Pelodiscus sinensis: one gene and its partner. The protein of the gene in region 1 interacts with the protein of each later gene in a pairwise test. Links are inferred from orthologs where the notes say so. Each region holds a gene or a part of one and is shown on either strand. Other genes may lie near its edges. The genes, in order: PSTPIP1 and UBE2W.

Region 1 (3,920 bases):
GTTCATCTCCACCATCAAAGCCTTTTAATGCAGCTAACTCTGGCTAGGAACCGGATATAGCATCTGCTGGTACCATTCAATGCACTTCCTTAATCATCTTGGGAGACAGAGTATAATTTTTAAAAGCATCTCAGTCACTTAGGAGCATGGGCAGCAGGGATAAAAGGCAAGGGAAGTCAATGCCTCCCGTGGGTCTTACCGCTTAACCCCCTCCCCTCATCCTATCCCTATTCTGACCTGGTGACTCTTCCTCCAAAGTGGATCTGTTAACTTAAAAGTAAAAGACTTCCTGCTTGCCAGACCTTTGAGTATAACATTGAACCTGTGATAGAGCAATCAAGTGGTAATGAAACCATTTAACAGGCATGCCGGGCCCTGAATTTACGGACAGAAACAGGTGTGCATTACTCTACCTTCAGGACCTTGGTTTAAATATTTGCTTTAAATATTTCATTAGTTTGTTGTACCTATCCACACACAGATATTTATAGGCACAATCTGAGAATTCAGCTTTAGCCTTAAATGCTTGGCTCTTCAGACATAGCTATTTAAATAAATTCTTCAAAAGACCACCCTTATCTAAAACATACATTTTAATTTTAATTACTATGGCACAAACTTCCTTCCAAAGTCTTCCTCATCTTTCAATCTATCCATACTCTCCTTTCACCCCTGTTGAAGAGAGTCCTTAAAGGGACAACATTCCTTTTCTTCCAGGTAGCTGGACAAATGAGTTTCCCTTTTACTTCTGACAATCTGATGAACTAGTTTTAAGAGAACTGTCCACCAAGATTCTTTACTAAGATATAAAATTCTTTGATATGCCTAAAATTTTTAGAAACATATTTTAAAGATAAACATATAATGAAATTTCATAAACATGTCTTGTTATGAAAATTACACAAAATAAATTGGTGTTTTATTTTTCTAAGAGCAATGAACTTTGTTTTGAACTCACTAAATTGCTCTGACTGATTAATGTCTTTGTTTCAGTGAGTTTAAATATGTAGAAATCTGGAATGATTATGAAGGCTTAACCATATATTTAAAATATAAAACCAGTTTAAAAATACTGACGAAGAAAATGTAAAACAGAAAGGGCTGCATCATATATTCTGTAATATTTAATGTTGTATTCAGCAGGACAACTGACTTGATCTTGCTACAAAGATTTTTAAACAAATCTGACAAACTTCAGGGTATATAAAAAACCTGTGACTGACATTTTTTATTACCAAATTTAGTGTTTTTAATTAAGTACCTTCTGCATGTCCAGTCTTCACAATCTGGCATGCAAAGGAAAACATGCTCCATTTTCTTTAGAAAGAAATTTTAGAGGAGTGGTGTTTTCCCCAAATGTAATTTGTTACATTTGGATTCAGGAGCCTAGATCTCAAAAGTGACCTAAGCACATATGGCATGATCCAAAGTTCACTGAAGTCAATAGAAAGGCTTCCCATTGACTTTGTCAGGGTTTGAATCAGACCCTGGGAATCTAAACCTAATTTGAAAGTCACTAAAATGGGGGTTCCTAAATGTGGGAACTAGGGTCCTAGATCATTTAGGTGCTATTGAAAATTTTACTAGCAACATGAGGTTCTTATTTCCAACCCTGGACTAAGCATAGCACTTTTAATTTCCAGGGGAAAAAAAGTTAAAAAACAACAATGATCCTGTAGCACGTTAGAGACTAACAAAAATATTTAAATAGTTTCAGAGCTTTCATGAGCACAGCCCACTTCTCCATATTTGTCATCTGAAGAAGTGGATTGTGTCCATGAATGCTTTGATACTATTTATATATTTGTGTTATTCTCTACCGTGTTACAGGACCATTGTTGTTTTTTAACTTTTTTTTTAACAGACTAATATGGCTACCCCTCTGAGACTTTTAAACTTCTGGTAATTCATTATCAAATTCACTGGTAAAGAAGCTGGTTCATCTTTCTTATAACTTTATATCAATTCTGTGTAGATACCCTATACAATCTACTGTTGAGGTGAACCTCAGACATAGCTTTGTTTTTTTGATAGCTCTCGATATTTCTACACAGAGGTATGCTGTGTGTAAACAGTGGGTTATAGGTATGTTCATAAACATTTCTATTTCTAATGAGCCTGTGAGCCCTGATATGAATGTGCAGAAACAAACCTAAGGGTACGTCTAGACTACAGGCTTCTGTCGACAAAGAGCGTCTAGACTACATTATGTTCTGTTGACAAAGCAAGCTGCTTTGTCGACATGGTAGTGTAGACGCAAAGGACAGTTTACATGCAATAACACCTTCTGTCGACAGAAACTCTGTCAACAGAAGGCGTTATGCCTCGTAAAATGAGGTTTACCAGCGTCAACAAAACTGCTGAGTTCTGTCGACATTCTGTCGACAGAACTCAGTGGTAGTGTGGACGCAGGTATAGTTTTGTCGACAAAAGTCCACTTTTGTCGACAAAACCCTGTAGTCTAGACACACCCTAAGAGTCCAACATTTCTACAGGCATAATAATAACCATTTGGGAGACGTAGCGTACAGAATATTTAATACACACTATCATAAGTGATATTTCATTTTTCAAAAATGTTCTTTTTCTGATTAAACCATTAAACACTCGATATTTGCCTACTTTCCTTTAAGAAGAAGAAGAAAGAGCTGGAAAAGATTGTATTTATGTGTTGCAATGATACAAACACATAATTTGGTGAAGTCCCTCTTTCTACCCATGTCTTTAGGAGGGTGAGGCCTGATTGACTTGTGCTTTATCCAGGAAGGAAGTACTTAATAGAAGGTTAGGCTATGGTTTTGAGTTGAATTGTCTTTCTAAATTTTGTCGCGGGTGCCTAAGGTAGCAGGCCTATATAGTACAAAAGAAGTTCATGTAGTGAGGGCTACTTTGTGCCCATTGAACACGGTGCCCTATAATTTTCTGAAACAAGTATATTGCTTCTAAATTCATCCACAGCAGGAGAAAGCAATTGGGAGAAAAAAGTGTTTTGCTGATTGAAACAATGGGAAGCAGCACCTGAAAGGCTTTGAAAGTTTAGAGTGGACATTTAATACTGGATGCGGTCTCAAGAAGAAGCATTGAGCATTTGCTGGATAGTGAAAATACTGCTTCTGAGGAATTTTTTCTGGTCAGAACATAATGAAGTTCCATTGAGCTATGATGGAGTTCTCCATTGCTGCACGACTCCTAGAAAACCTATTAATACTGAGACAAACTTTGAAATCTTTTTTTACTTTCCATCCTTCTGCCATACCAACTAGAAGGGCATGTTGAAGTACACCATCTCTGGGGCAATCTGTTTACCTTGGCATCTTTCCTCCTGCATATGCTATGGAGTGAGATTTGTTAGTAAAAGTCCTGGATGAAAAATTGGTGGACTTGGGAATTATTTTGATTTTCTTAACGAAGTTTGGGCTGCTAAATATGTCTTGCCTGTGTTACAGGAGGCTGATGGTCATTCTTGCAGAGGAAGAATGTAGATTTCCTGAGGTGAGGTTCTGACGGCTAGCTAACCTTTTCCAGATAGCCAGAATGAAGGCCTCTCTTCTTTTCCTGACGTCTTTAGTGTCTCAAACTAAAATAGTGCAGGAGAAGGTGTACAACAGCTTCTTCAGCCATCAGATATGGGACCCTCTGATGTGGTCTTTTCCAGTGAAATACACAATAATACTTTCCTGTGGGAGTGACTGAGTGCAAACAGATCCACAGTCAACAGGTCAACAATCTCCAGGGCTACGTCTACACTGGCCCCTTTTCCGGAAGGGGCATGTAAATTTCACTAGTCGTCGTAGGGAAATCCGCGGGGGATTTAAATATCCCCCGCGGCATTTAAATAAAAATGTCCGCCGCTTTTTTCCGGCTTTTAAAAAAGCCGGAAAAGAGCGTCTAGACTGGCCCCGATCCTCCGGAAAAAGTGC
Region 2 (3,920 bases), on another chromosome or scaffold:
TGTTCCATTAAAAGGGAGGGGTGTGCACAAGTACACACAAGATTTTTTTTTTTTTTTAAAAAGCATATAGCTCATAAAATGTCTGGTCATGTGTACTCAAAATCTGTGAATATGTGAATATACATGATGTGCAACACAAAGGACAAGACCACTAGATGATGATGACAGCATTTTTTTCTAGTGTTGCTAAGGGGATGAGATGCCCAGCATCATTCTAGAAACTATCTCAATTATTTGTTTGTGGTAACACAAGCCTCTGGAAATCATGGGATGTCATAGGTGATCTGGCAGATACATTTACACACTCACCCAGACAAATATTAGACCTGATCTGCAACCAACAAGTGTCTACTTCCCCTCTAACCAGGGGATGGTACCACCACCAGCTCAGGCCCTGTTCCCACTCCATCTCTTCCCCAAGCCTGCTCCCCCTCCTCCTCCCAAACACACCCAGTCCCTGCTCCTTTCCTCCCAGAGCCTCCTGCATGCTGAGAAACAGCTGTTTCGTGTATCAGAGGGGTAGCTGTTTCGTGGTATGTCAGATGCACTGAGAGGGGGAGGAGTTAGTTAGTGGGGCTATAGGAGGGTGAGAGATCTTGTCAGCAGATACTGAGCACCTGCTAATTTTTGTCCAGGGCTGAGCACCCCAAAGAGGGGACAGTGCCATAATAACTAGTATCAGACACAGGACTGGTAGCACTTCCTATTATGAAGATTGCCCCACATTTCACCGTGTTTTGAGTTGCATATAACTTCAGCAAAATGTAACTATTTGGGCTGAAGTTATATGCCATTTGCCCTATGTCTGAAGCCGCCTGAAATATTCCAGCTATTTACAAGAACATAAACAAGCCAGACACTGTTTTACCACGTTTAACAAAAATGCAAAGGCTGTTCTTCTCACAAGCTCGAGCACCCTTGCGCTGTGGCTCAGGGGTTTGGGCCGTGGGCGCGGCCTTCCTCTCGGGGCTGCGCTGGACGCTGTCCCCAGTGCAATCCACCCGCCTTTCGCAAACTTACAATTCATGCATTTGACTTATCAACATGTGCACGTGCGCAGTAGAGCCCGTTTCAGCATAATGGACAGTGACACAGTTCTCATGTGACCTCAATGCAGCTTTCCCTGCACGGGGCGGGGGACGGGAGGGGGGCAGGTCGATGCAGGAATCCCACCAGGGTTGCCAGCCCTCCAGGCTGGGCTTGGTGGCTCCGGGGACTAACGATTCCGCTGTAACTGAAGACTGTGCCACAGGAAGAAAGCTGCAGGAATCCGTCCACCCACAACTGGCAACTGCCCATGCTGCCCAGCCCCCGCCTGGAGCCGCTGGGTGCCGAACAGGAGACGGGGGGCAGCCCCGGCTCCCCCGAGGCTCCGCACGCGCAGTGGCCCAGCCGCGCCTGTCGCGCCCCTCCGCCCCTAGCCCCGCCCCGGGCGCGCTCCAGCGGACGGGCCTGCCACGCGCGGCTCCTCCCATCCCGGCCTCGCCGGGCCGGCCTGTGGGCCCCTGCCAGGCGAGGCCGCTACCTAGCGCAGCCGCCACCGCTGATCGCTCGGCGCATGCGCCCTGCCCCTGTTGGTTTGGGGGGCCCACGTGATCTGGCGGGACGCCGCTGCGTCTCTCTCTCTCGCTCTCTCCGGGTCCGGACCGGCGGCGCAGAGGGGAGGGGGGCGGATCCATCATGGCGTCCATGCAGGTGAGGCTCTGGCGGCGGAGTCGGGGCGCCGGGCCGGAGTGGGGAGAGCGGCGCTGCCGGGGTGGCAGGAGGAGCCGCTGGCGGGGTGCGGGACAGCCGGGAGGGCGGCGGTTGGCGCGGAAGCTCTGGCCTCTGGGGTGCCTGTGGGCAGCGCTGGGGAGCCGCCCAGGAAGGGGACTCTGGGACGGGACCTCCCCCCGGAGCGCGAGGGCCCGATAAAGCCCCTGCCTGGCGTGTGAGCGAGCTGTGGCAGACACCCCGCTCCCGGGAAGGGCCGAGTTCGGGTAGGGCCCCCCCCTCCTTGGTGTGTGTGGGAGGAGGCGGGGGCGCTTCACACACTCCCCGGCGGAGCTGGGAAAGGAGAAGAGTCCCCGACCGCCGCCGAGTTCCCTCAAGTGTGAAAGGAATGGCGGGTGTGGTAGAGTCAGCCGGGCTCTTCCTCTTCATTGGGTGCGTGTAAGGATCGTACGGGGTAGGGCACAGAGACTCCCAGAGTGCTCCTAAGGGAGTTTATGAAGATAGGAGGGGGGCATGGCTGCCTGAGGTTGGTGGTGGGTTGCACAAAAAGACAGCCTTGACAGCCGCAGGATTACATTCAACCCTCCCCTATTCGCATCTATAGTAGTAACCTCCCGCCACTTAGTCCACAAGTCCTTTTATCTAAGGACAGGGATAGTGATTCATTTATCCATAAGTATGTTCATTGAAGGATCAGATCACAGCATTCTAGAGGTCTGTAATGCATCCGATTTAGCAGTAAAAGACAGTAGAGGGAAACTGGCTTTTGGGGTTTTTGGGAGAGTGGGGGATAAGGGAGGATCTGTCTCTTGGGACTCTCTTGGTCAGATTATCCTAAATTTGGATCACCAATGCTGCTCTGTACCCCTACAAGGCACACCACGTTTCAAAGCATTATCATTAACCATTTGGAGTATAGTATCAGAGGGGTAGCCGTGTTAGTCTGAATCTGCAAAAGCGACGAGGAGTCCTGTGGCACCTTATAGACTAACTGAAGTGTAGGAGCATTACACTCCTACACATCAGTTAATGCTCCTACACTTCAGTTAGTCTATAAGGTGCCACAGGACTCCTCGTCATTTGGAGTATAGCATACTTAGAACCTTATAGCATATCAAATGGCAGGAGTGGAAATCATGTAGCTGTTTTTTCTGTATTGGCATATGCACAGTGTAAAAATAGACACTTTCTTAACTACTGTTCTCAAATTGGGTTTCTATAGTGAATGCTATGCACTATCTTGGATAAAAATTGAGTTGAGACCATTTTGACCCCTAGCGTAGTACAGCCGCTTCCCAAGTTACAACCATCCGCACTTACGACCAAAGCGGTCGTAAATGCGGATCTGAGTTATGAACAGCGCGGTCACCGTGTAACTATGGGATCTGAGTTACGAACACTTCAAGTTACGGACCAAGTGTTGGTCCGTAACTTGTTCGTAATCCTGGGGAGCAGCTGTAATAGTTTGCTCTCCACGACTGGGCAAAACACCGTCACATAGAAACTTTTTTTAAAATGGCTATTTTTGGAGGGGACTTATATTTCTGGATCTCCTGACTCAGATGACTCCAAATTTGGGTCACTAACTCTTCAACCTCCAGAAAGAAACAGCATTTCAGAGAGATCCTTGTTTTTAGATGATGTAGAAACATTAATGTTTAAACAGGTGTCATGAAGTAACCTTAACTATAGCGCTTCTACACCACTACTCAGACAACAGAGAAGGTGTACAAACTGGAACATTACACGTGGTGTTATACTGATATTTATCTTTAGGGTTTATAACTAGGAATGACATGAATAAATGCAAAAATAATTATAATTAAGCTAGAAAATTTTATGGATGAAATTTTATTAGATTCTGAAATAGTCCCCCCCAAGAAAGTAATGGAAGTCCAGTTTACGTGACGTTTTAAAAAAGGCTGGGTAAAGCACTTAAGGACATACCATATCACATAGTCGTATTCTATAAGACTTGCATGCCACATTGTTTCTGCTGTTTGGTCTTTATTTAATATTTAGAATTCTTTATGCAGCCTGGTTTTGACTACAAAATATTATGTTCCCCAAAGTTTCTGTTAAAAGAAACTCTTGTAGGTGTGTATAAAAACTGTGTGGAAGAGACTGTTGTGACACTTTAAGACAATACTACAGGTAGCTGGGGTTTGAGAGGCCTGTGTTTGTCACTGATCTTTGTTGTGTTCTTG

The links.
Region 2: the proteins of PSTPIP1 (region 1) and UBE2W interact in binary tests that used the Homo sapiens proteins (3 or more experiments, as listed by UniProt). The two-hybrid records come from large-scale screens. The link is inferred for Pelodiscus sinensis from reciprocal best matches to the Homo sapiens genes PSTPIP1 and UBE2W.

The regions. Positions count from the first base shown.
Region 1 is NC_134724.1:32,682,584-32,686,503, forward strand, and holds the start of PSTPIP1 (proline-serine-threonine phosphatase-interacting protein 1), read left to right. Parts: upstream 1-1,049; 5' UTR 1,050-3,426; coding exon 3,427-3,492; intron 3,493-3,920. UniProt on the Homo sapiens protein: Involved in regulation of the actin cytoskeleton. May regulate WAS actin-bundling activity. Bridges the interaction between ABL1 and PTPN18 leading to ABL1 dephosphorylation.
Region 2 is NC_134712.1:53,659,788-53,663,707, forward strand, and holds the start of UBE2W (ubiquitin-conjugating enzyme E2 W), read left to right. Parts: upstream 1-1,084; 5' UTR 1,085-1,680; coding exon of another isoform or gene 1,681-1,695; intron 1,696-1,762; exon of another isoform or gene 1,763-2,145; intron 2,146-3,920. UniProt on the Homo sapiens protein: Accepts ubiquitin from the E1 complex and catalyzes its covalent attachment to other proteins.